Linked DNA regions of Stegostoma tigrinum. The protein of the gene in region 1 interacts with the protein of each later gene in a biochemical or structural test. Links are inferred from orthologs where the notes say so. Each region holds a gene or a part of one and is shown in the gene's direction. Other genes may lie near its edges.

Evidence for each region.
Region 2: the proteins of esr1 (region 1) and ncoa6 form a complex in vitro, tested with the Homo sapiens proteins (4 studies listed by BioGRID). The link is inferred for Stegostoma tigrinum from reciprocal best matches to the Homo sapiens genes ESR1 and NCOA6.
Region 3: the proteins of esr1 (region 1) and ccnd1 form a complex in vitro, tested with the Homo sapiens proteins (2 studies listed by BioGRID). The link is inferred for Stegostoma tigrinum from reciprocal best matches to the Homo sapiens genes ESR1 and CCND1.
Region 4: the proteins of esr1 (region 1) and tbp form a complex in vitro, tested with the Homo sapiens proteins (2 studies listed by BioGRID). The link is inferred for Stegostoma tigrinum from reciprocal best matches to the Homo sapiens genes ESR1 and TBP.

Annotation. Positions count from the first base shown.
Region 1 is NC_081362.1:16,541,692-16,548,796, reverse strand, and holds the start of esr1 (estrogen receptor), read left to right. Parts: upstream 1-4,084; 5' UTR 4,085-4,191; coding exon 4,192-4,643; intron 4,644-7,105.
Region 2 is NC_081372.1:13,070,330-13,077,367, reverse strand, and holds the start of ncoa6 (nuclear receptor coactivator 6), read left to right. Parts: upstream 1-4,012; 5' UTR 4,013-4,133; intron 4,134-7,038. UniProt on the Homo sapiens protein: Nuclear receptor coactivator that directly binds nuclear receptors and stimulates the transcriptional activities in a hormone-dependent fashion. Coactivates expression in an agonist- and AF2-dependent manner.
Region 3 is NC_081370.1:61,635,667-61,643,163, forward strand, and holds the start of ccnd1 (G1/S-specific cyclin-D1), read left to right. Parts: upstream 1-4,471; 5' UTR 4,472-4,691; coding exon 4,692-4,889; intron 4,890-6,305; coding exon 6,306-6,521; intron 6,522-7,497. UniProt on the Homo sapiens protein: Regulatory component of the cyclin D1-CDK4 (DC) complex that phosphorylates and inhibits members of the retinoblastoma (RB) protein family including RB1 and regulates the cell-cycle during G(1)/S transition.
Region 4 is NC_081357.1:94,277,331-94,284,237, forward strand, and holds the start of tbp (TATA-box-binding protein), read left to right. Parts: upstream 1-3,881; 5' UTR 3,882-3,993; intron 3,994-6,907. UniProt on the Homo sapiens protein: The TFIID basal transcription factor complex plays a major role in the initiation of RNA polymerase II (Pol II)-dependent transcription.

The DNA of each region.
Region 1 (7,105 bases):
GACTAACAGAGCAAGCAATGAGCCTATGGTCCGATGCGTGTGTTGGGGGTTTGTCCCTGCAAACAAACTGTCCTCGCAGCGGTATGAAAGATGTTGATGTATTCTAAAGTGCAACATTGAGGTGGAGGATCATTTTGTCAGTGGGACAGCAAGGCCCATAGGAGATCAGGGAGGCTTGAAACGGTCCAATGTCAATGTTTTCAGAGAGGGTAGGGTGCGTGTGGTCATTGTCCGTGAAGCATACCCTGAGATGTTAGTGTCCAAGATGGATAGTCAGAGGAACAAGCTGTGAGCTATGAGGTAACTGCTCTGGTTTAAATAACAGGAATTACGCTGGCCCAGTTCCTATCCAACTGCTGGGCGGATAGAAACCTGCCTATCAATGAGGCAGGATGGGCAAATAATGAGATTAATAATGTAGACCAGCAGGCCCCTTGTTGCTCACTAGTGAAATTCTTATCTTGCTGTTTAGCACTTGGTTGGAAAATGGGACTTTTGCTCACAACATAAAGAATATTATTACTTCTGATCTCACTCAATTTTCCCATCATTTTGTGGCCTGGATAATCTCTTCCAGTAGGATTTCTGGCACAGCAACAGGCCACAGAATCTAGTGCAGCGCTTCCCAAATCTTGCCCCCTTTTGAGACTGGATACTTCCTATTCAGTGAGAATAGAGAAGGGCCAGGATGTGGGAGACTGGATGGGGGTGGGTCAAGTTAGCAGGGAGACGTTCAGCCATTGCTGCCTTGGTGTTTGCCAGTCCAGAATTTCACCTTGCAACCCCATTTGAGGTCTAGTCTAACAGTTCAGCACCATGATTTAGCCTGCATTTATATGTCCTCCCACCTCCCGTCATCTCACATATCCTTCTTATCATTTTCTCACAACCGTGGGTTTATTTAGTTGCCCTTAATTGCCGTTATGTTATTTGTCTCAATCTCTAAACTTCCACTCTTCTGGTTAAAAGTTGAATTTAATCAGGATAGCCTCTCTGCATGCACCTTCCCCAGTGCCTCTATAAGCTACAGCTTAAGGGTCTGACAGTACAGCACTGACTGCGAGGTCTATGTCAAATGCTGGCCAATTTGTTTCCTATCTTGCGCACTTTCTGTTCGTTCGATTTGTTTTTTTGACCTCCTGCGGGGCGGGCAGCCCATCGCTCAGTTTCACAGAATATTCACGAGTACCCTCGCTACATCTTGCGGTGTGCCATTGATAAATTATGCATTAAAAAAGGCCTCATTTGTTCCAAAAATAATCAGAATGGCCCTTCACCTGCTCAGTGTAACAAAAGCAAACAAATGAAGATTTGGCAGCAGCTGCTGGATGTCAGTGGAGAATAGCGGGCCCCTTCCTCCAAAGAGGCGCAGAATTTCTACGACAAAAGGTCAAAAGTCAATACTTTTGGTACATCTTTCTGTCAAAACCTCTTCATCTTTCCACTGCAATAAATCCCCGAACTTTACCTGCTCACATTCCCTTTACAAAAATCGAAATATTTGCAATTAACTGTTGGCTCCTCCAGCAGTACCACCAACTTGTTAACACATTGATTCTTCTATACCTTCTGCTCCTCAGGCTGAGGCACGGTGCCATTTCTGGCAAAGCAACAAGATGTATGAGAGATTCGCCTGTGCTGATATTTCAAAATTTCCAGATCATTGAGCTCAACAATACCAGAACAGAGCAGGGCTAAATTCATTTTCAGTCTGACTAAGCAGCTGTACAAGAGTCTCATTTGTAACTCCAGCTTTGGCCTTGTGTATAGTACACTTTCTTGGAGTCCTAAGGCTGTAGGTTCAATTCTCACTCCAGAGGCCTGAATGGACTACAGCCCAGAGGATATAGAAGTGTTGAAAGTACCAAAATTTTTGAACGAGTCATCAAAGGTTAAGGTGAATTTAATAGATTCCATTGCACAATGAGTTGTGTGTTAATCACTCAGATGACACCACTAAATCAGATTCACCAGTCACTTCGTGAATGTGAGATCCTACTCTGTGTGTAATTTTGGTTGCTACATTTGTGAAAACAATTATAGTGATTATATTTCATAAATGACTTATTGGCTGCCTGTGTGGGGGCTGTGGAGAGGGTTAAAGCGAATATCGGTGCTTTTCTCTGCCTTAACAAACAAAATCCTGGCTGCTTTCTGACTTCTCATTCAAAAATGAAAGGGCATGGCTTTGGGAACAGTTGTACTCACCAATCAGTAAGAGAGTGATTCTTTCTGTCTCCAATCTGGCACATTATATTCCCAGGAATTCCAATCTGGCACTTGCTATTCCCAGAAATTTCAGCCTCGGTATGTTCTTTACCTCTGCGCTTGATGAGCTCAATTTTAAAGGGCTTATCCCTATTCTTCCAGGGCCTTGTCTATCGCTATCTCTGTCATCTCATCCAATTATACGATCTGCAGAGAGCTCTGTGACCCTCCAATCTCACCGCTTACATACTCCCTAGTCCCTTCCTTGCACTGTTAGTTGTCCTGCCTAGTTCCTAAGCTCTAGAATTTCTTCCTGAAATCTTTCCACCTCTCTAGTTTGCTTTCTCCTCCATGATAGCACTCCTGAAAGCCTAGATCTTTGTGAATGAAAATGGTAACCCATTTGAGTACCCCATTACCTCTTGTCAAATCTTATCTGTGAACACTCCTGTGACACGCCTTGATTAACTGTGTCTGAGCCACCTTGTTGAAACAAGTTGGTAGTGCTTCTCGCTGATGAGCTATGTTTTTCTGGGACTTCGTTTTACCAAAGCAAGCTTCCCGAATCAACACCTCGCCACCGAACCCTCTTCTCTACTGGCAGCTTAGGTGCTGTCGATCACTCCTCATCCAATAACGTCAGTCCGCATAAAGCACACATGACTTCCTGGTGGGCTGGTTGGGATTGAGGGTCTGTTTCTCATGCTGTGTGAAAGGAAGATTGATTTGGAATTTTGACCCTCAACTCCATACCAGCACGCACATCTTTACAGAATGGCAACACATGTAATGGATTTTGACCAGGACAAGGAATGGAAAACAGTTGTGTTTGAGTACAGGTGCTTCCATTTCTAGCAGCTCAGAAACGCTCCCTCTTCGCTGAAGCCCGGTGAAGGTGGGCCTGTTCTTCGCCAGACTCTAATGTGACACCAGCTGGCTGTCAGTGTGGCTACAGATTGAAAAGAGGTTCACATCCTTTCAAATGATTTTCTTTTCCCCTCTGTTGTATGTTTATTGACATGTTTTTAGCGCTAACAAATCATCCCTTTAAAAGTCCAGATTAAAGACCCAGCCAGACATTATACCATGAATAGAAATAATTCGTAGCAGCAGCAGCAGAAAAAGACTCAGGTAGAGAGGCTGAAGAAGTGGGAAGAGCTCCAGAAAACTATTCAACACTTCGTTAACACATTAGCCCAGGTCGTTCCAATTTGTCACAGGCGCAAACTGAAAATAGCACTGTTTGGCTATGACTTCTAATTGGTTCAAGCTCTTGGCTTACAGCTCCAAATGTAGAGGAGGTGTTCCGAACGCATGGGCTTGCTTGAGTCAGGAGGCAGCCGAGAGTGGAGAAACTTAAGGGAGAATAGGTGGGTGTGTGAGTGATCAGGCGATTAAGCGGGTTTAGATTTCTGGGACCTTTCCTGGCTTCGAAATTTCTCGGCTTTGCAGGTGAGGAGACCATGGGGGGGAGCGGGGGGAATCCCCCAAGGGAAAGCTGCCCCTGAAGCTGCAGAAGCGTAGAAAGGCACACATATAATAGAGTCTTTAATGTTTGGTGGAACATCAATTCAATGTCACTTTAACAGTGTCTGCCTGCGGTGGAACATTACACTAGTGCCAGTGTAAAACAGCCTTTTGATTTCTGGCTGGCTGCCAACACCTTTGTAATGCTTATTAGCTCAGATGTGAAAGACTTGGGTTTGAAGTTTGATTCTGTCGTTCTCCCTGCACTCTCTCACTCGTATCCTCCTCCTCCTCTTCACGCAGTGCAATCAGTGTGTGGATGAAGCGCTGTCATCAGTAGTGTGCGCTGTAGTACTCGTCCTCCCCTGACAGTGCGATTTTCTTTCCCTTGTAGGTTGGTCAACTGATATGAAGTGCGATCCTCCAGGCGACAGTGTCAGTCTGTGACACTGAGAACTGTGTTGGCTTTGGTTTTGCTCTTCCCCCACCTACACCCCCACCCCCCACTTTCTCTGGATGCTGGTCATGGCAATTCCACTCCATCACAAATCACCTGCGATCGCTTTGCTGCAGAAGATTCAGGCTAGTGACTTGGACACTTTTGGCAGGCAAACTCTACAGTTACCTATAAGTGGCGATGGACCTCTGAACGAAATCTATGTGGAAAAAAACCGAGCCGGAGCAATGAACTACCCAGAAAGTGGCTACGAGTTTGCTGCAGCAGCTACCCTGTACAACCCGGCTGGTCTCGGCTACACAGCCTCCAGTGACTCGCATGGTTCCAGCAACATCGGGGGGCTCCACTCCCTCAACAGCATGTCTCCGAGCCCGCTGGTCTTTTTGCAGACTGCGCCCCAGCTCTCGTCCTATGTGGCTCACGGGCAGCAGGTCCCCTACTATGTAGAGAATGAACAGAGCAGCTGCAGCAGTTTTGGCTTGAGGGAGGCTCCCCCTTCAACCTTTTACAGGTAATGAGAAAGTGCTTTATCTATTCTCCCGACAGAACAGTTGTTGAAGTGGGTGGGGGGTGGTGGTCGGTGGTGGGGGTGGGTGTTACTGGTGGGAGGTTGGGATGGAGATGGCAGACCGTTCAGCTGAACGCACCCCCCCCGCCTTGAATGTTTGCAACAGAAGTCTGCCGTTTGTCCCTGAAGTGTTCCTGAAATGCTATTTTTTGAGTATGACACTTCTCTACATTACTTGTTGCAACATGAGGAGTCAGATGAAAATTTTACGAGGTGCATCTCTCTTCACTCAGTGCCATGTTTAGTTTGGACGGGACACAGTCTGTCCCTTCCACCACCCTCCCCCCACTCTCCCCTTCCCCAGACATTAATCTCGCGAATGGGCTGCTTTTGGGTGTGCCCCAGATTTTACAGCCCAGACCGCTGAAGTTGTTTGCGATGTAGTTACAGTTGCTAAAGTCCGTCTGTCCCAGTTGCCCGTAAATTGCACTGCAGTCAAAGAATGCGAGAGCATAATTTGAATCTCTGAACAGTTTCTACTTTCGATTGTGGCTTCTGGGCGACGTTATCTAAACTGTCTCTCTGCCTGGAGAACATTTCATCAACTCATCGTTTCCCTGGACAAAATAGACACTGCTCCTTTAGCCCTCACAAAGGGGGCAAATGAAACCTTGGGGTCATTTTGTATCCCTTGGGCTGCCATTGCTGCTGATCACATAGTGACTGTAACTGCGTAGTCCAATCCTTTCCTCCCCACCGCATTGAAATCTGATACCACGGGCAGCTTAAATTGACTCGAATGAAAACCATACCCACTACAGGATAGAATACCCCCACAGCCCCAAATGCAGTCGGATTTAGAATGAGCACATTCCTTAGCGTGGGGGCTTTGTAACGAGTTAAACCCTGAGAACCCTTTCGTTGTCTGGCATTCCCTCGTGCTTTGAGGGAGAATGGATATAAAAGTTCATTTTGTGGTGTTAGGCAATAATATCACCGATAATTTGCTACGTCCCGAGTATAACTTTCCGAATAGCACTCAGGAATTCAAAGCATAGCAGCGTTTCGACAGTTCTGTGCCAGTCAAAGAGCCGCATTAAATAAAAGTAGACTGGTAGGGAAGGATTCAGCTCTAATGTTCATGACACAAAGAGATGATTTGTAGCCCTAGTATATTAGACACAGGTTTTCCTATCACTGAGATTTTTCTCAACATGTTGAGACAAGCTTCGTTTTACACTTGCTGTTGTCACTGTTTTGATTGTGCAATTAACAGTTCGAACATGAGTCTCTGTAAGGCCAAATGTGCATTTTTCTTTTCTTTACGAACTAACTGTGATGTGAAGAGTTTTGACAATATAGAAGAGGAGAAATTGGTTCTACTGGCAGGAGTTACAGGACACAAACTGGCAATCCAAGCAGAAGGGAGGCAAGGAGAAAATTTTTTATCAGGTAGTCATGGCCTGAAAGATGCTGTCTGGGTGTTAGAAGCAGATCCAACAGGGACTTGTAGAAGGACGTTGGATAAACATTTGAAAAGGACAATATTGCAGGGCCCGGGGGAAGAATAATGGGTGGAAGAGGTGTGCAGGGTAAACTGACTAGATAGAGAGAGCTAGCACAGGTACTGTGGTCCAAACGGTCTCTTTCTGTGTTAGAGTTTTGATGATTCACTGTCATGGTGCAATTTTAGGTGGTTCTTCACAATGAGATCAACTCCCTGTGTCGCCTGAACTCTATTCTGTTCTGTTGTGACTCTTTGTCTACACATTGGAATGTGGGGTGGAAATGCCCTGGTGTACCTGGGGATGGACAGAACAAGACACAATAGAAATGGGGGCATTTGGCCCCAGCATGTGCAACTGAGACAGATAGTGGATGAGCTATTGATTGTCAAGAGCTGGCTGGAGAGCACAACAGGTCCTCTTAGATCAGGATATGCTTTTGTAACATGATCGTTTCTTTATATTGATTTGCCTTGAACTATTCTCCTCACTATGGCTTCCATCCCATGGAATGTGAGCTATGGTATTCTGGATCTCTCTCCTTCACTGATGCCGCACCCCCCCCCCCCCCCCCCCCAACCTCCACCCCATCAGCCTTTCCACAATGAACTGGGTGAGCATCAAGTGAACCTCCCCCATTGCTTTCTCCTTCTGTCCTTGTGAAGGGACACACTGCCTGGGCTTCCCAGCGGTTTCAGTGAAAACCCACTGGGACACATCCCCCTAGCCACCCTACCCTGTGGCTGGGATAGTGAGAGACCAGCGGTGTCAGCCTGCCAAATCCCCCAGAACCTGTTGCTAAAATCCCACTTCCTCACGCTGGGTTGACTGATTACTCAAACTGTGCAGGTGATCCCAGTTTCAGTCCACACTGAAATAAGGCCTAGGTGGGTCTGGGGGCATATGGGGGAATACAGATTACCACAGGTCCTCTGGGCTGGGAGTAAAGGAAGTGCGAAA
Region 2 (7,038 bases), on another chromosome or scaffold:
TCCTCCAGCTCCACATTTTGTGGTGTCTCATTTAAGTATGCTTTTAGTTTCATCTACCGTATTCACTATTTACATGGTTCCTACACTGGGGACACCAAATGGAGATTTGGTGACCAATTCATGGAACACCTGTAAGGGCCACCTTGAGTTTCTAGTGATCTGTCATTTGACATCTGGCTCCCACACTAACATCTCTGCACCTTGCTAGCTGCAGTGTTCCTGTGAAGCTAAACACAACCTTGAGGAACAGTGTTTCACTTTGAACTCAGCTTTCCAAACTCATTACTGGGTTCAGACTATATAATGTCTGTTCCATTTCATTTTCTTTGCTTGTTTCATTTTCTTTTCAGTCAGCATCGTATCTATTCTAGGCACTTTTTTATTTCTTTGTTTCTTTTCTTGACCCATCACCAATTTCTTTGGCAATGTAAGGCTAGTGCTTCAGTCTTTCAAACTCTTCTGTCACAAAACTTTGTTGTTTTTGTCCCGCCCAGCCCTTGCTGAAAGCTTATTACATCTTTAATTTCTCCTAGTTTGGATCAGAGTCACAGACCTGAAATGTTTATTCCACTTCTCTCCACAAATGCTCTCACAAACTGCTCGGTATTTCCACCACTTCCTGCTTTTATTTCTACTTACAAACAGACAGCTATAATTAGGCAATTCTGTAGAATAATCTACATCATTAAGCAGAAGATTGGTATGGAGTAGTGAAGGTTAAAAAAAAGCTGGGGTGTCTTTTTAAGGAGGGTTGAAGGCATGTCCTTGATGAGTAAGTGAGAAATTGGGCCAAATACCCAGAATCACAGAATTCCTTCAGCATAGAAGGAGACTATTCAGTCCACTGTATCTTTGGTCATTTTAACTAACTGCCATTTTCCAGCCTTCTCCCCTCAACCATGAAGTCTTCCTTTTCAGGCAACAGGCTAATTCTCTTTTGAAAATACTGTCATGGACCAGACCAGACCTCCTCAAAATATATTAAGAAGGTAGCCTAGACTCCAATTGTTTTTTTTATTTTAAAGGTAACTGTTGTAACTATGTTCCAGATGCAATTTGATTGGTCAAGCTACTTAACATTAAGCAAAACACAACTTATTAAAACACTACAGTCAAAACACAAAAACTTATGATAACCTAATTCTATTGGAAAACGTAACACAATAATAAATACCATAAATAAGACTAATTAACTGTTCCAATTTGTTAACATCTCATAAACACACCCTTAGCAAAAAGGCAAATTCAGAAAACAGACTATTTCACATGCAGTTCTCTAATCTATGACGAAAGAACATCAAAAGACAGTTCCGAAAATGTAGTAGCCAGGAGGGATTAACTGCCTTCCTCTACCGCTGAGACCCCAGCAACAACTGCTGAAATCTAACTAAAAATCCTGGATCTGTGAGAGCTTGATCACACCCATACATGCTGCATGATTGTTATGACTTTAAAAAAATTCCCCAAGGCTTCACAAGTTGTTTGTCTTCTCACAGACTGCTCATTACTTTTCCCCAGTCTCGTTTTAAAACACCAAAACACATCTCTTAAAGCCACAGAATGTGCCTCCATCACAGTCTCAGGCAGTGTATTCCAAATCCAAACCACTGCCTTGATAACAAAGTGTAGAGCTGGATGAACACAGCAGGCCAAACAGCATCTTAGGAGCAGAAAAGTTTTCTGCTCCTAAGATGCTGTTTGGCCGGCTGTGTTCATCCAGCTCTCCACTTTGTTATCTCAGATTCTTAAGCATCTGCAGTTCCTATTACCCACCCCCACCCCCAAACCACTGCCTTGCTTCCTTTGTCAATTACTTTAAGTCTGCACCCTTTCATTCTTGATTCTTTCACAAGTGGGTGCAGTTACTCCCTGTCTACTCTGTTCAGAGCCCTCACAACCTTGAACATGTCAGGTCTCCTTTCAGCTTCCTCCCTGACAAGGAAAACAGGCTGAACATCCCAAAGTAATTCTCAGAAAGTCATAGCACAACATTTCCTACTCCAACTCCATTGATTAAGATTAACAGTGGGATGCTGTGAACGTGGATCATTCTCCATAACTTGGGAACTCATTGTCTTCTTGAGGCACTAACAGTGAAATTCATCATTGCCTCCAATATAATTGTTTGGTTCTTCAGCTAAGTGAAAAGAAGAATATGAGAACCAGGTTACTCAAATCTGAGACTGAAGTCAGGGACTACTAGAAAGCAGTGCTCCCTGTATAAGTTGAATTTTCTGACTCCAGGTGGGTTGAGAGGTGACACACCTCTCAAACAGGTCCAACTTGGACCCATGCCACCTGGCTCAGAGTTAGGAACATTACCACTAGACTATAAGAACCATTACTTATATTTTTGAACAGAGGTCTCATATAGTAAAGTTGATCTTTTGCTGCACCTTCTCTTTAGCTGTAATACTATATTCAGCATTTTGTTCTATTACCTTGACTTAGTTATATTAGGTATAATTTGCCTGGAGAGCACACAAAACCATACTTTTCACAAAACAACAAATGCTGGAGATCACAGTGGGTCAGGGAACATCCATGCAGAGAGGGCAAGCTAACTTTTCAAGTTTAGATGAGTCTTTTTCAGATTCACTGTGTCTCGATATGCGACAGTAATAAATCAACTCAAACTATTCAGAGATGTCATGACATAACTATCGAGCAGGTAGGGCAATGAGCCCAAGCCTTAGGGTCATTACCACTGCACAAAAGAACTACTATTTAATTTTGTTTTTCTGATGTCATTACACAATTGCGGAGCAGGTGAGATTTGAACTAACCTAGGCCTTCTTGCTCAAAGATAGGGACATTACCAGTGCACCACAAAGACCCTTTCCAGGGAAGCAGAAAGCTGACAATGAACTGCAGACGGACAAAGAAAAACGGAGAAAATGGCTTCGCCGGCAGTTCCGGGCGAAGCGCATGCGCGGTTATTCCCATGGTGACTAAGACGCGCAAGCGCAGCCCTCTCCCGGACCATTCCTGTCACAGAGATAATAGGTGGTAATGGGAGCTGCAGAATCTGAGATAGCAAAGTGTGAATCTGGATGAACACAGCAGGCCAAGCAGCATCTCAGGAGCACAAAAGCTGACGTTTCGGGCCTAGACCCTTCATCAGAGAGGGGGATGGGGTGAGGGAACTGGAATAAATAGGGAGAGAGGGGGAGGCGGACCGAAGATGGAGAGTAAAGAAGATAGGTGGAGAGAGTATAGGTGGGGAGGTAGGGAGGGGATAGGTCAGTCCAGGGAAGACGGACAGGTCAAGGAGGTGGGATGAGGTTAGTAGGTAGGAGATGGAGGTGCGGCTTGGGGTGGGAGGAAGGGATGGCTGAGAGGAAGAACAGGTTAGGGAGGCAGAGACAGGCTGGGCTGGTTATGCTGCTTGGCCTGCTGTGTTCATCCTGCTCCACACTTTGTTATTACTGTCACGTATTGAGATACAGCGAATACGATGAAGAGTCATCTAGACTTGAAACGTTAGCTTGCACTCTCTCCATAGATGTTCCCTGACCCACTGTGATCTCCAGCATATGTTGTTTTCAGCGAAACGCATTGTTTTGTGTGCTATCCAGGCAAATTAAACCTTAAATAACTAAATCAAGGCAATATAACAAAATACTGAATATAGTACTAGATTTCTGAAGAAGGGTCTAGGCCCGAAACGTCAGCCTTCCTGCTCCTCTGATGCTGCTTGGCCTGCTGTGTTCATCCAGCCCCGCACCTCATTATCTTGAAACAGAACAGTTTGCGCGATACCTCCAGTGGGTGGAGTTTTCTCAGCCGCCGGGGCGGCTCCTGACGTCACCACGCTGCCGGCCCTGAGCATTGATTGGCTGGCGCGCCGACCAATGGAACAGCACCTTACTGAAGCCCGATCACGCCTCCGTCGAGGGGAGTCCAATGGGAGCGCGGCTGTTTGGGGGGGGTCGGCTAGTGGGTAGTTCTCTGTGGATGCTGGTCGCTGTGTTGACGGGTCTTGGATGGGGGGGGGGATGGGAGGGGGAGGAGGGAGCCGATCGCAAATTCTATTCAGCATCAACCTGTGAAATTTATGGCTGTGTGAAACTAAGGTTCCAGCAGTGATCACAGGGATGAGAGCGACTGGGTCAGCAGCTTGACTGAGGCCGGTAAGTTTGTGACAGAGACCGGGGCCCTGCCAGCCTCGGACGACTCTTGGGGGCAGAGCAAGCTTGGCATCAATCCCGGGCCCGGTGCCACTCTTAAACACCCCCCCACCCCGTCATTCATTGTGCCGCAGTGTTTCGAGCTTTGCCTTCCCTCTCCGCCTCAATGTACGGTGTTGGGTTGATACCCAAACCTCCCAGTTCGCTTAGTCGATTAATTTAAACACAAACCAGCTATCCATATGTTTTTAAGAATAGTTCACTCTCGGCGCGCCTGAGATCGATCTGTCAGTTCGTATCACAGTGTTTCCTCCCAATTGTCACATTCCCTTGTTCGGTGTTAAACACTGTTGTGGTCTGTTTAATTTCTCATAATAATCTAGAACGCGACCTTCTGACCTATTATGCCTCTGCTGCTTCTTTGAAACAAAATCTGCAATAAGTCCTTAAGCCTCGTCTCTTTTGTCATTACTCCTGCCAAGTTGCACTTTTCAGACATTTATCCAGTTCCCTTTTAAAAAATACCTTTGAATAGGCTTCCACCACCCATTTGAGCAGAGTTCGAATGTCACTTTTCCTTACTTCTTGTCTGATAGTGATTATGATCAAGTTGTTTTGTTCTGTTTGAAGAATGCGATGATGCAAATTTTCCTGTCATGTTAAATACAGTTGAATTTTACTTCAATAAATCCTGTATTGCATTTTTTGTTGAATTCAATAGTAAAAGCACATAAAACTGTAGTAAGGGCAAGGTTCTTTCTGATGTTTGTCTATACAGTTGCAGAAACGGGGCTACATTATCATTAGTTAAATACGTTGTTACAGAAGCAATGTGTAGTACAATCAATGTGTTTTTTTTAATATTAACTGATGTAATTCTGTATTTCATCTTCAAATTATTTATCCTCATTAAAGACGTTCCCTAATTTTTTCCTTAAGTTTTGAAACTACTAACATTGGGTAACTTGATCAATTTCTTACTTGTTATGAATGTGAGTACCAGTTAAATCCTTAATGATAAATGTTCTGTTTTTGATCTGTGAATTAGTGTGTTTCTGTTGGTTTGGATTTAAACCTATAGGAAAGAATTTGAATGTGATGGATATGTATCTGTAGCGACTTCCAGAAACTTGCTTCAAGGGTGAAATAAATAATTTTACTAAGAGCAAAGACAAAGTTGCTGGAAAAGCTCAGCAGGTCTGGCAGCATCTGTGAAGGAAAAAAAAAGTGTGAATGTTTCAGGTCCAGTGACCCTTCCTCAGAACTGGTTTCATTAAGTTATACGAACTTGTTTGATTTTTAAATTGTACATTGAAGTTTTTGTGTAGGTGGCTCAATTATTGCAGTGCATGAGATCCATTTAAACAGCTTTTCTGTGTGGAATGATGAGTAGAAACCAGCTGTAGAGCATGTAATAACTTACTGTCTTTTTTTAGCTAACATGACAAGGTGTAGAGCTGAATGAACACAGCAGGCCAAGCAGCATCAAAGGAGCAGGAAAGTTGACGTTTCGGGCCGAGACCCTTCTTCAGAAGACCCTAGACCCTTTTCTGAAGAAGGGTTTAGGCCCGAAATGCCAGCTTTCCTGCTCCTATGATGCTACTTGGCCCGCTTTGTTTGTCCAGCTGCACACCTTATTATCTCAGATTCTCCAGCATCTGCAGTTCCTACTGTCTGTCTTTTTTAGCTTACTGTTTTTACAAGGCATACACTTTCACATGAACTTGTTTGTCAAGTATTGGATGTAGATCTCTCAAGTTGATATTTTAAATAATTCTTATTGGTAAAATTAATTTTTCTGTGACACGTTAGCTGAGAAGTGTGTTGGTGTGCGAAAAGGCCCTTTTTATTGGTGTTGATTTTTACTTTTACTTTGACACTGACTCAATACATACAGCTTATACCTTGCACTGGTCACTACATTTTTGTGTGGTTGATACCTTTTAAAGACAGTTGGTAGGTAACAAGTTTTTCTGTACCTCAAGCAGAAGTTTTTCTTAAAATTTCTTTCATGTTGTGATTTCTTCTGCCTTATTAATTGTGCTAATGCAGATATTGCAGCTATATTCATCAGTAACGAATGGCACATGAATGTAGACTAAATTGCAACAAGACAAAGTCCTTCATGTTGTCTTGGTCCACACTGGCCTGCAGGGACATAGGTCCTTCCATTGATACAGTGAGCTGCTGCATTGAAATTATAGTGAACAGAAGCATACTTAATTGATGGGTTGTCACTGGTGCTGAATATTTCTGTGTACACCTCAGAGTTTTGTAATTACACATTTGTAGTCCTAGATCTTGATATTTTGTATTTTCAGAATGTTATACACAGTACTTAATTCTATTTTGTTTAACGGCACATCCAGGCAAATCAAGCTTTTTGTGATCCATGTTACTGTGGACATTAGGTAGGGGGAAGATCTTGAAATTTTAAGACTATTGATCTTAATATGCATGATGCACAAAGTTGGCATATAGGCTGCAAATTAATTTTTAAGTACTTAATAATTTATGCATTAACATGCAAAGGTTGCGAAAAAAACAGAATGATGTTCTGAAGTGGCGTCATGCTGGACTCAGTGTTAACTCTGTTTCCCTCTCCACAGCTGCTGCCAGACCTCCTGAGTTTCTCCAGTATTCTTCATGTGTTGTTTCAGATTTACAGCATCCTCAGTATTTTGCTTTTACATAAAAGTTGCATCTTTACAGGCTTGTTTCACAAATGTCTTTGAGAAATATTGTTAAGTTTAGTTAATAAAATGTGAGGCTGGATGAACACAGCAGGCCCAGCAGCATCTCAGGAGCACAAAAGCTGACATTTCGGGCCTAGGCCCTTCATCAGAGAGGGGGATGGGGTGTGGGTTCTGGAATAAATAGGGAGAGAGGGGGAGGCGGACCGAAGATG
Region 3 (7,497 bases), on another chromosome or scaffold:
ATGTGATGCAGTGGGGGGAGGGGACAGACTGGGCTGGGTTTGGGATGCGGTAGGGGAAGGGGAGATTTTGAAGCTTGTGAAGTCCACATTGATACCATTGGGCTGCAGGGTTCCTAAGCGGAATATGAGTTGCAACTCATATTCCGCTTGGGAACCCTGCAGGCCAATGGTATCAATGTGGACTTCACAAGCTTCAAAATCTCCCCTTCCCCTACCGCATCCCAAAACCAGCCCAGTTCTTCCCCTCCCCCCACTGCATCACAAAACCAGCCCAGCTCTTCCCCTCCCCCCACTGCATCACAAATCCAGTCCAACCTGTCTCTGCCTCCCTAACCTGTTCTTCCTCACCCATCCCTTCCTCCCACCTCAAGCCGTGCCTCCATTTCCTACCTACCAACCTCATCCCACCTCCTTGACCTGTCCGTCTTCCCTGGCCTGACCTACCCCCTCCCTACCTCCCCACCTATACTCTCCTCTCTACCTATCTTCTTTTTTCTCCATCTTCGGTCCACCTCCCCCTCTCTCCCCATCCCCGTCTCTGATAAAGGGTCTAGGCCCGAAACGTCAGCTTTTGTGCTCCTGAGATGCTGCTTGGCCTGCTGTGTTCATCCAGCCCCACACTTTATTATCTTAAAGTCACTCCTCAACCTCCTACGCTCCAATGAAATGAGTCCCAACCTATCCAGCCTATTTTTGTAGCTCAGACTAACCACTCTCAACAACATCCTGGTAAATCTTTACTGAACACTCTCCAATTTAATAATATCCTTCCTATAGCCAGGTGACCAATTGTGTGTAGAGGTGTGACACAATGATATGGGGGGGGGGTACAGTTTTAAGAACTCTTACCATTGCCACATTTGGTTTTACGTAAGCAAGAAAGATAAATAATTTTGTTCATAAATGTCACTCAATTGCCAAAAAAAACAACAGGGATGTTTTTCTGCAATGGTACAGGGCCTTGATGAGACCACATCAGGAATATTTTGTGCAGTTTTGCTCTCCTTACCTGTGGAAGGACGTTCTGGCTGTGGAGGGAGCACAGTGAAGGTCTACCAGACTGATTCTTGGGATGAAAGGAGTGGTTTATGAAGAGAGACAGGATCAGTTTGGACTATATTCACAGGAGTTTAGAATAATGAGGAAGAATGTCACAGAAATCTATAAATTTCCAGAAGAACTAACCATGGTAGATGCATGAAGAATATTCTCGATAGCTGGGGAGTCCAGAACCAGGGCTCACAATCTCAAGATACAGTGCTGGCCATTTAGGATTGACAAGAGGATAAATGTCTTCATCCAAAGAGTGGGGAGCCTGTGGAATTCTCTGCCACAGAAAGCCGTTCAGGCCAAAACATCGAATTTTGTCAAGCAGGTAGATATAGTTGCTAAGACTAAAGGGGTCAAAGAATACGGAGAGAAAACAGAAACTGAGTTGGATGATCAGCAAGATCATATGGAATGGGGTGGCAGCTTAGAAGGGCTGAATAGCCTTCTACCGTTCCTATTTTCTATGTTTCTAAACTACTGAGTTTGAGGGCAATTAGAGACGGCCAATAGACACTGCCCTTGCCAGTAATGCCTATAATCCTATGAAAGAACAAAGAAAACATGCAACTGAGCAGCGAGGCTTTCCGTTTTGGTGGAAATTAATATGAGGCAAGTTCTGAAGAATGATCGCTGATCCAGAGGCGTTAAAGTGTTTCTCTCTCCACAGATGCTGCCAGACTCGCTGAGTTGCTCTGGCATTTTCTTCCAAAATGACAACTGGGTTAACCTGCAGAGATGGCAGGAACTGCCGATGCTGGAGAATCTGAGATAACAAGGTGTAGAGCTGGATGAACACAGCAGGCCAAGCAGCATCAGAGGAGCAGGAAAGCTGACGTTTCGGGTCTGGACCCTTCTTCCGAAAATCTGCCATCGTCAATATTTAAAAAAAACTCTTCGTAAATGAAATCAGTAAATCAAACAGCAGCGTGTTGAAAGGCGTGAGATTTTATACATATATAGCCTTTTGCCAGTAATAGCGGCTAGTTTAGTTCTGGAGATTAGATACCGAAACAATCCATATTAATCTTTCATCTTTGCCTACAAACTTGTCGTGACGCTTATCGCTGCCTCAGTCATTTTCCGCCTACCTGGAACAGCACTGGGTTACCTGTCCAGTTAACACACCTACCGTACTAACCTGTGTAAGCGCCGCCATCCACACTCTGTGCTGACACGCTTTCGAGTGTCAGCGAAAATCCGGGTTGAATAAAAACACGCCAGGAAGGTTTACAGCGATATTATCGGCAACATTTTTATTTTATTTTGTGTGTGGAGCGCTTAATGGAGATTTTTTTTAGAAGTTCAATCAGCAACTTGTTTCTGTGTATTTTTGTTAATTTCTCTGAACTTTCTCATGGCGATCGGAATGGGTCACCGCCTCCTCTTTGAAAATGGAATTGCGTTCCAGTTTTCAGTGAAAATTAGTTTCGATATTAAGAGTCACAGGCCAGACCGCGGCCACCGTTTAGATGTGAGCCTGAAAGTAAACCCACGCTCTCATTTCCACCGCTACTATTTTATTTTAAAATAAAGAAGCTCCCCCTGCCCCAAAAGGCAGAATTTCACAATACACAGCATCATCGCGCCGGGAAGTGAAAGTCTACAAAACGTGACTTCCGACCCTCCGCCCGCTCTGCGCTGAATTTGCTCTCGCACTGGCGGCGAGTGAGGGGCAGAGTTGGAGAGATGTTACCTCAGCGTTCCGTTCCCAAGCCCTCCTCTGCAATAAAACAGTACCCCACGCCCTAGCCCGGTCCAGCCCTTTGTTTTGTTATTTTTTCTCACTCTTTAAAAATAGATCCTAATAATAGGATTATAATTTTATTTGCTACAAATGCTGACACACAGGAATGTTTGGGAGCGGTGTTTTTCGGGAATGGGGGGGTCATTGCAGGACTGCGAGGCGAAATCTTCAGGCAATCAGTAGCGTCGTTTCTGTGCGTGGTGGTGTGTGTGTATATTTTAAGTGAAATGCACAGATCCCTCCTCACATCCGTTTTGACAAATGATCTGAGTTGCTCGGCAAAAGCTTCCTCTGTTCGGAACAATAGCTTAGCTGTATTACGGTAATTAGATGCAAGCGGAGCATGTGGAGCTGTTAATGTAGGAGCAACTTGGAATCTCAGGAATGTCCCGGCTTCCATTAATGATCATGCGACAAAATTCACAGCGAGAGAGAGAGAGAGAGAAAGGGGAAAAGAAATAAGACTCTAAGAGACGGAGAAAGGGAGGGGAGGGGGTAATCTTTCTCACCATTCAATAAAATTATAGGAGCGATTAGAAAGAGAAAATAACAGGCCAGCCACAATGAATTAAAAATAAGACGATCTTATCTCTGAATCACCATTAAAGCAAAGGTTACAAAGGGCTTGATTGAAAAGTTTTGCAATTCTGTAAAACAGAAAGGAACTGTGATTCAGTACAGTGTGTGTTTAAAACAATGCAACACATTTACATCAAGGTGATCCCGATTTTTCAAGCCGCACGCCCGGCCCCCCGCCCCCCCGATCAAACTCCATTGTGAGCGCCCACATTCCTTCGAACAAAAGAGACGGCGCTGGATGCCTGAGTGATCGATGATCGCTGAGGCTCCGGGCTCGTTGATCTGCCTAGTAACAATCTTTTCCGCCATTGGCTATGCTAATACCTTCGCCTCTTATTTCTACCGGCGTAAGGGGTTTCCTCTGACAGACCGAGCAAGTTTTGCCAACTGAACTTCATCCCTCCCCTCCACCCCGATTCCGGAGAGAGAAAAAAAATCTTTTTCAAGTGAAGAGAGAGTTTTTGTTTTTTTTAAAAAACACGCAGAAATAAAGAAGCCGGGAAGAGGAGCACATGCAAAGCAGGAAGCGTTGGGGATAGACTAGGCTGACCCCTGGATTGCGAAGCTGTCGTAGCAGCAGTGAAAAATTAATAACCATGGGGTCGGAATTTTGCACAAATGCAAATGATCATAATGCACCAAAATGCATGTTTTATCCCAGTGGGCACAGTAATCGCTTCCTCAGATATATGCGTGCGCGGCTGCTTTGCACGGACCTAGAGGTTTTCAGTGTAGAATAAATCTTATTTTTAACATTAATTCTGCTCCCATTGTACCCAATGCTCGCGACTTTCACTGAACTGTCAGTCAATCGTGGGATGACTGACAGCTGAGTACAAGTTCCCACTGAATGCAAGGACTGAGGTTTAATTTTTGCAAATATGTAAGTGTGCAATGTTGCACACAGATCTGGGAACATGTCCGGCTCCTAGACACACACACAAAAGTTTCAAAATAAGCCCCCGTCGCCGCAATAAGGTTGAATTTGAGTGGATCTTGCTTCGGAATGGGGGCGGCTTTATCAGCTCCGTTGCCCTTCCCAACCCACACAGACACACACACACACACACACCCCCACCCCCCGGGTTGGCCTCTCTCGTTCCTCCTTTGATCTTCCCAGCCGCAGCTGCTCTACATAACAACTCAAAGCCGATTGCGTCACTCGCGGGCAAGTTATAGTTAAAGTTTTTTTTCCCCTGAACTAGAGCCTCCAGAGGCAGCAGCATCCCTTGCTTTAGTCAATGCAATAAGGAGAGAGAGAAAGAAAGGAAGGAAAGGGGTGAGAGAGAGAGAGAGAGCAGAGCAGAGCGCCCTAGCAATGGAACATCAGCTGCTATGTTGCGAAGGAGAGGCTATCAGAAGAGCTTATAACGATCCCAATCTCATCAATGATCGTGTCCTGCAGACTATGCTCAGAAGCGAAGAGAACAGCCTGCCCTCTCTCAGCTATTTCAAGTGCGTCCAAAAAGACATTGCGCCTTCCATGAGGAAGATTGTTGCGACTTGGATGCTGGAGGTTTGTGCACAGAATCTTATACAGAACCTAGATATCTCTCTCTCTCTCTCTCTCTTGTAGTTATACTCTGGGTATCGAACGATGTGCAGGACCTGACATTTGTGCTTTGCAGGACGTCAGTGCAGCCCGATTCTGCCCAGATTTTTTTTAAACTTGCAAGCTGGCGGCACAACTGTTGAATTTGTCATAGAGACCCCTGTAAATTCCACCCCCGCCCCGCATCCCAGCCATCCCGCTTTCCTTGCTTTCCATCTGAGTGGGGTTACTGATGTAATGTTTTAAATGCAGTTCCTCTTACCGCTCTCTCTCCCTCTTGTCCTCTAAACACCTCCCTCCCACACCCTTTGCTGTGTGCCCACAAACAGACCCACACTCACCCCTGACCATGAGCTGGTTACGGGGCAGTAAGGTGAGGTGATGTATTGGAAGGGCCGGTCGATGGGGGGAGGCTGCTATGGAAAAGGAGAAAACGCTCTCAATGCCGTATCCCAGTCACCCAGCCCATCTACCCCTCTCTCTGTCCCTCGGCCCCAGCTCCTGGGGCTCAGAAATGAATTTTAACCCCAAAATGAGGTTGTACACGTATGCAGCTCAATGCGTGCCAGTATTCAACGCCATCTTTGTTCAGAATAACTCGAGAACCCCCTCCCCTTCCAAACGCCTCACTGGGTCTGGGCAAGGATGGGGGGGGTGCTTTTTACCTCTTTGGGAGGGTGGCAAGCCCAGGGTTGCGGGGGGAATGTTGCTGAATTTCCGGGTGTGAAACTGACAGAGATTTCCTCCAAAGTCAGGGTCTCAGCCAAAACTTCCCAGACCCTGTGTATCTGACCCCTCTCGGGGAGAAAGGTCTCAAATTCATGGGCAAAAGTGGGGTCAGAGGGCTGGAGAAGGCGCCCGGTACAAAGTTGAGAGCCCGCTGCACATTTTCGTGCTGTTTCCGTGCTGTTCCGCCCTCGATGAGTATTTTTAATCATTTTTTGAAGGAGCGCAGCGGCTGGTTTATGATCGGGGCGCAGATTGCAGCGTTACCCCCGGGGGGACTCTCATTTCACTCCCTTTGGCAAGTTTAACCACCTGAAAATGCCCCCAGCATTGGCCAGTTAGAAAGAGCGCCGGTTGCGCTGGATTTTCGTCCCCTTTTGGGCGCCCGGGCTAATTTTTAAATATTTTTAAATATTTTTTGAAAAGATGACGACGCGAAAATTCAAGCCGGGTTTGGGAAAGAGGGAGAGAGACAGGAGGAGGGGAGTCTGTCTGTCTGTCCAACTCAGTCCAAATTCCTGGGTCTGAGAAAAGGGTGAGAAGGAGAAATGATGGAGGGTGAGAATTTTTTTGGGGGGGTTACGGGTGTGTGGAATAACCCCCCCCGGCACCCTCCAGGTAATTTTCCACTTTGTGGTGTTGCCCCTTCTGTAGGTTTGCGAGGAGCAGAAATGCGAGGAAGAGGTGTTTCCGATGGCCATGAATTATTTGGATAGATACCTGTCGATCGAACTGACCAAGAAGACCCACTTGCAATTACTGGGAGCTACTTGCATGTTCCTGGCGTCAAAAATGAAGGAAACGATTCCGTTAACAGCGGAAAAATTGTGCATTTATACCGACAACTCTATCCGGCCCGAGGAATTACTGGTAAATAGCCAATCTCTTTCCCTGTCCGCCCCCCCAAAAAAAACGCCAATGCCCTCTATCTGAGCTCAAATCTCAGTCCTCAGAACTCTCTCTCAATCTTCCTTGAATATCTCCTCCTCCAATGTATCACCAGCAGTAACTCCTTCCCAGCTCTACCCCCCCCCCCAGATATTGTGCAAACACAGACACTTTCAACCAGATTCTCGCATTTAAGGAGTATTCAGTGATACTCAATTTGCAAGTCTCTTCCTAATGCTCCTCAAGTTAATCAGAAGCAATGTTTCACAGATCCCCTACGCGCCCCCCCCCCCCTACACACAAATAAAACACAAGCATCTATATCCCATTCACAAGCCCCTCCAATTTGGGAACCCCCAATAATTTTCTTTATCATCGTGCGCTGACAATTATTTCCGCTTTCCCCCAGTCCAATAGCCGGAAAAGAAACTGTTGCAAAAGGAATCTCGAACGTTGTCACTGAGTTTTAGAAGTAGGGCTTGAGGGATTTTTCGTTTTTGTTTTGTAGATTCTCGGTGTTCCAGACTTCTGTTGTTGAACACTGAACAGTTCTGGGGTTTTATAAAGTGGAGCGTGCAGGACCTCAAATGCAGAGGAACTGAACTTAATATTTTAGCCCCACTCCCCTTGTTTCTGAGGCGGAAGGCAATTGCGAGGGGGTGGCGCCCTCTTTTGAGATCAGCGGCTGTACCCTGCTGGGACCCTGCTCTGAACAGCGTCCTGTCGATTAGATATCAAATCAAGAGCAGATTAGTTTATTTCTTTTGTTTTTTTAAAAATGTATTCCATAGGTCACAGTTGCGCACAACATACAGACTCTGTTTAAACTCAACATTTACAACAGTGATTTTATTTTTTTCCTAACTTTGGTACAATGCGGAAGCATATTAAGTATCTATTTTCCAGCAATACGTTTTGCAAATATGCCAGTGGTATCTAAAATACATTTATTCTCAAC
Region 4 (6,907 bases), on another chromosome or scaffold:
GTGTTGGATGCTCCAAAGGGGTTGTGAAAATGTGACAGGACTGGGCATTTCAAATGAGTCTAAACAAAAAGAGGCACCACTGCTGTTAAGACAGGGAACCCATCCAGAGCAACAGCCTATGATTCTCAAAAGATGTTAAAAACTGGTTGGGCCTTCCATCAAGAGCCAGGCGAGCAAATGGGGGCAAGGTTCCTTCAGGAATCTTATGTAGAAATACCACAGACATGCTCTACAGTGAGAAATTTGGCAAGATAGAAGTGCTGTGCCTAACTGACACAGGAATGGTGATGTCAAATGTTGATCACGAACTTTTCTGTGACCATCTTGCTGAGAAATGTTGCTATCTCTTCTTTCATCCAGGTGTCTACTTCACACGAGTCCGACAATCTCTATCAAGCTCTCCCTACCTGCCCTCAATCTCTCGTTTCATAGCTTGGATATTCTGGTAGTTCATGACCTGATCAATACTCGTGTGGAAATAAGGAAATTGAGCATGTCCATGGTCAAATATGTTAAAAACTTTCCAGGTATTTTTGGAAAGCATGTGACTGCAATGAGTAGATTAAAGTTAGCAGACGGGGCGCAGGATTCTTCAACTCTGCTTTGCACACTTAAGATGTAATAGCCTGTACAGGACCACAGAAGGTTGTAGTATAGGGGATTGGGTTGTCCTACCTACTTGCACCATCGCTGTTCTTGAATTGTCAGACTAGCATCTCCAACTGGTGAACATCAGGCCATTGATTACAGTTTTACAAAGACTCCTTTATGCCACACAATCTAATACTTCTTTGATGTCAGGGACACCACCTCACCTCTGTAATTCAGCTCCTTTGTTCGTATTTGGACCAAGACTGCAATGAGGCCTGGAAATCCATAATCCTGGCAGAAGCCAAGCAGAGAATCTGTGAGCTAGTTTTGACTAAATAGATGCTACCTGTTAATATGATTTTTAATCCTTCTTTCATTCACTTTGCTGATGATAGAAAGCTTGCTGATTGGGCAGTAACTGGCTGGATTGATTTTCACCTTTTTTTGTGAACAGGACATACTTTGCTCAAGCAATGTTTCAAATTGTTGAGCGGATGGCTGCATCACAGCTATACCAGAGCTTAGCTAAAATTAGTTTTGCAGCAGAAATTAGTACTGCAGCCATGAACAGACTCCACATCCAGTATGCTCAGTTGTTTCTTGATACTATGTACAAATTAGGCCACTCAGCATGCTCTGCCATTCAAGGCAAAACTTATGTCCTCCCAAAGGAAATATCATTAGTTTTCCATTAGCTAACCTCTGTTAGGAGGTGATGGCATAGTGGCAATTTCGCGAGTCATGATATATAAATGGTCACTAATATTTTGAGGACATGTGTTCAAATCCCATTATGGCAGATGAATGAAATTTGAATTCAATAAAAAGCTAGCTTGACAGCAAGAAATGAAGCTGCCGCTGATTGCTGTAAAAATCCATCTGATTCACTCATGCCCTTTTGGGAAGGAAAACTATCATTATCTGACCCAGCCTACATGTGATTTCAGACCATGAGACTGACTCTTAACTGCCATCTGGGCAATTAGGGATACAAAACAAATGCTGGACTAGCCAGCAACACCTACATCCTAGGAATGATTGCATGATAAGCAGCACAAATCAACATAGATTGGGTGCATTGCGAACATACTTCCAATACTAATTGCAAAACAATGGATTCAAATAGTAGAGTAGTTGTGTAGTTTAAGCTTGACTCGGTAGTTTGCAATCATTTCTGAATCAGAAGTTATGGGTCCCAATCCCACTCGAATTTTAACATACAAATCATGCTGATGCTTCACTGCAATACAGAAGAACTACTATTCACCTGTAGATGGAAAGGGATATCCCAACAATGAGAAGAGGTAACATATAAGTACAAGCTGATTCTTATAAACCTGTGACTATATGAATACTTATTCACAAACCTTGCCTGCAGATATTGTGTTCTAGCAACTGCCACTTCAAATGGGCTAAACTTGCCACAGGCCAACAGGAACTCAGGGCTGCTTTAGCTTAAAAGAGAAAGTCAGAAGTCACATGACACGGGGTTATAGATTAGATTAGATTCCCTACAGTATGGAAACAGGCCCTTCGGCCCAACAGGTCCACACCGCCCCTTGAAGCATCCCACCCAGACCCATCCCCCTATAACCCGCACACCCCTGAACACTACAGGCAATTTAGCATGGCCAATCCACCTACCTTGCACATCTTTTGGATTGTGGGAGGAAACCGGAGCACCCGGAGGAAACCCACGCAGACATGGGGAGAATGTGCAAACTCCACACAGACAGTTACCTGAGACTGGAATTGAACCCGGGTCCCTGGCGCTGTGAGGCTGTTATAGTCCAACAGGTTTTTACAAAATCACAAGCTTTCAGATTGCTGCTCCTTTGTCAGGCAAAGTGCCAATTACAGTCAAAGTTTTACAGTCAGAAAGAGACCATTTGGCCTACACGCCTGTCATCATCCACCTATCTACTGAAGGCCCATTTCCCAGCAGTTGGTCATTCATGTTTTAAGTGTTCATCCCAACATTTCTTAAATGTTGTCAGGGTTCCTGCTTCTACCACCCTTTCTAGCAGCAAGTTAGATACCCTCCACCTATTAATGTACCTTATAATTTTGGACACTACAATCAGATCTCTCTTCAGCCTTCTCAGCTCTAAGGGAAACAACCCTAAACCGATTTCTCTTCGTAGCTGAAATGTTGTAGGCTGGGCAACGTTCTGGTGCATCTCCTTTGCACTCTCTCTGGTGCAATCACGTCCTCCCCATAGTGTGGCAGCCAGTAATGCACACTATACTCCTGCGGCCTAGCTTCATATACTGTTCCATCATAACTTCTGTTCTTAAATATTCAATGCCTTGACAAATAAAAGCAAGTATCCCATATACCTCTTTAAACACCTTATCCACTGGCTCTGCTGTTTCAACAATCAGTGGACATTCCAAGCTGTACTTCCCTTACTTTGTTAGTCCTTCCAGATAAATCATCTCACATTTAGCCAGATTGAATTCTATTTGTCACTGATATCCTTCAACAGCCTCGGCTTTCCTCTTTGCTACTTACTGCACCAATTCCTGAAGGATGCCCTTTAGGGAAGGAAACTGCCATCATTACCTGGTCTGGCCACAGCAACGTCACTGACTCTGGGCAATAAATGCTGCCTAGCCAGCGACGCCCTCAACCCGTGAATGAATAAAGATATATAAAATTATATAGATAACACAGTGTGGGGCTGGAGGAATACAGCAGGGCAGGCAGCATCAGAGGAACATGAAAGCTGACGTTTCGGGTGGGGACCCTTCTTCACAAATGTGTTATCTCAGACCCCAGCATCGGCAGTTCTTACTATCTCTATGAAATTATGTACCCGTGTCCAAACTCCGCACTCCCCCGGCGATTACCGAGAGCGTCCATCCTAGGCGTTCACCACTTGCCACATTAACTCAACGACAAACAGATTCACGAATACGGATCGAATAACTCTCTTGCCTCGTCGGTCAAACATATTATTAACAAAAAAAGTGCTGAAATGAAACAAAAAAACTTTGCTGTAAATGCCTAGATGTTACTCCCCCACAGAGAATAAATCTGTACTGTAAAACTAGGAGACCTTACTGAAACCCCGGAAGGAGATTCGATGAAAAAAAAGCTTTCGCATTCATCGAAGCCCCTCAGATGCTGCGAGTTTAAAGGAAAGAAATCCTCTTCCAAACGGTCTCATCCCAGGTCCATTCAATAACGGTTAGGCTTGGTGAAACATCCTCCCCCCACCCCGGTAACCAAAAGCAGCCTCTTCCCGCCTCCTCGCGAGCGAGAATAGGTCACGTGATTGTGCGCGCTCCCACGCAGTGGCGGCTGGGAATGGCTGGCCCACGGTTCCAAGCACCAGCTGGAAGTGACGGGGTTGCCGGGTGATCGAGCGCGAGCAGCAGGGGACATTGAGTTTCTTGGTGAGTCAGTGGCCGATGGAGAGGGACAATGTCTCCTCAAAACAGCTCTTACAGTTTCCAGGCTGGGGAATCTGAGGACAGCTGTTGTCGTTGCCTGTGCTATAGCTTGGGCCTGTACCGGCTGTTGCGTGCAGTCCCCCGGTGTTCAGATGGATTACGAAAGAGTCTGGTTGAACGTGGGGGTTGTTGGAGACTGGAGGAATCGACTGGTCCCGCCGGGGTTGATGGTGTTCTCAAGAGAGCTGTGTGTAAACAAATGGTGCATGTTTGTATTTATCGCTCCCTCTCGACCTCTGTCCTATTCTTTCCCACCATCTCTCTCACCACTTTCCCACAACCCCGTTCCCACCCCCCACCATCTCCAGGCCACCCAATTTTCCATCTCCTTTTTCACCAACCTCGGTGATATCATCCATTTTAGACTCTGTTTCCCTCCTCTTTATTTCATTTTCTTGTACCCATTGCAGCTTCCCTGTTGATGCTCTCCTCAATGACATTCTATTTGGCATCCGCTATCTCAGCCACCTGCTCCTTTGGGACCCTCCCTCTAACAGAGGGTGGCACGGTGGCTCACTGGTTAACACTGCAGCCTCACAGCGCCAGGGACCTGGGTTCAATTCCAGCCTTGGGCGACTGTCTGTGTGGGGTTTGCACGTTCTCCGTGTCTGCGTGGGTTTCCTCCGGGCACTCCGGTTTCCTCCCACAGTCCAAAGATATGCAGGCTAGGTGGATCGGCCATGCTAAAATTGCCCGTAGTGTTCGGGGTGTGTGAGTTATACAGGGAGGGATCTGGGTGGGATGCTTCAAGGGGTGGTGTGGACTTGTTGGGCTGAAGGGCCTGTTTCGATGCTGTAGGGAATCTAATCTCACCAATCCCTCACTCTTGACATCCCCACTCCTCATTGACATCCACTGCCTCTCACCACCAACCCACCTTTCTGATACCAACTGCCTCACCTTAGCTTCTATGGTACCCACTGGCCCATTCTACTTGATGTCACCTTGGCACCCAACATCTTGTAACCATTATTGTTTATTTTGTAAAGCTATGATAGTGAGTAGAGTGGAGTTTTTTATTATATGTTTTATTGAGATTGGTCTCTAGATTAAACTGTAATAATATAAAACATAGGTACTAAGTTAGCCTTGAGCAGTTTTTTTAAGGGCAGTTAAGAATGTGTGCTATTTTCTGGGTCTGTGGATAGTCAAGATGCAAAGATGGCCTTTGGAAGACATGGTCTTCCTGTCAGATGTGGGAGATTAGGGAGTGTTTCCATGTAACTGATGACTTTGTTTGCAGAAAGTGTGCCTGGTTGTGAATCCTGTTGGATCGCATGGATTAGTTGGAGTGGCAGTTAGAGGCAATGAGGAACTAACGGAAGCTAAGGAATATGATAGATGGCAGCTTGTAAGAAGGGAGAAAAACCACAGAAACAGTCAGGTACATGGGTTACCCACCAGGAAAGATAGGAAGTGAGGCATGACGTCCTGGAGTCTTCTGTGGCTATCCCCATCTCAAATAAGTATGCTGTTTTAGAAAATGTAGGGGGTGATGGATTCACAGGGGAATGTGGCGTGGACAGCCAGGTTTCTGGTACAGAGGTTGGCTTTAATGTAAGGAGGAGTACACCAGGTTCCAAGCAAAGTAATAGGGAACTGTGTAGTCAGAAGCACAGATGGAAATTTGTGGCCAACAGTGAGAAATCTGAATGCTGTGTTGCCTCCCTGGTGCAGGAATCAAGGATATCTTGGAGAATGTGCAGAATGTTCTCAAAGGGGAGAGAGGACAGCAGGAGGTTCCTGTACACGTGAGAACTAACAACATAAGGGGAAAGAATGAGATTCTGAGGAGAGTATATAAGATATTAGGCAGCAACTTGAAAAGGAGGTCCTTGAGGGTAATATCTGGATTACTGCTGGTACCACTGGCTAGTGAGCGTACAGGAAGATGGAGCAGATGAATCCATGGCTGAGGATCTGGCACGGGGTGAAGGATTGACATTTTTGGATCATTTAAATGTCTTCTAGGGTGGAAATGACCAGATTAAGAAGGGTGGATTGCACCTGGATTGGAAGGGGTTAATATACTGGCGTGGGATTTACTAGAGCTGCTTGGGAGCATTTATACTAGTGGAGGGAGGGAAGAGGCAGGAGCAATGTAGAGAATGAGGTAGGACTGATAAATTAAACAGCATTTATTTCAATGCAAGAGCCCTAATAGGTAAGGCAGATGAACTCCATGCGAACGTGGGACTGAGATATAGCTATTACAGAGACGTGGCTTGGGACTGGACACGATTACTAACTTAATGTTCCAGGGTATAGATGATATAGGAAGGGATAGAAGGGTGATGCAAGAGAGGAGGGGGAGTGGAGTTTTTGATTAGGAATAATATTTACAGCTGTACTTAGGGAGAATATTCCTGGGAGTCCATGCAGGGAAGCTAGTGGGTGGGACTGAGAAATAAGAAAGAGATGATCACCTTATTGGTATTGTACTATAAACCCCAATAGTCAGCGGGAAATTGAGAAACAAATTTGTAAGGAGATCTCCGTTATCTGTAAGAATAATGGGGTGGTTATGGTAGGGGATTTTAACTTTCCAAGCATAGATTGGGACTGCTGTGGTGTTAAAGGCTTGGATGAAGAGGAATTTCTTAAGTGTATACATGAAGATTTTCTGGTGCAGTATGTGGATGGACCTGCTCTTGGGAAATAAGGTAGGACTAGTTACTAAGATTTCAGTGGTGGAGCACTTTAGGCCACTGACATTATTCCGTTTAGTTTTAAAATAGTGATGGAATAGGATAGACCGGCTTTAAAAGTTAAAGGTCAAAATTGACCTTCCTCCAATTTAGAAGGTATGAGGCAAGACTCCCAAAAGTTGACTGGGGTGTTTGCAGGTCAAGGGATG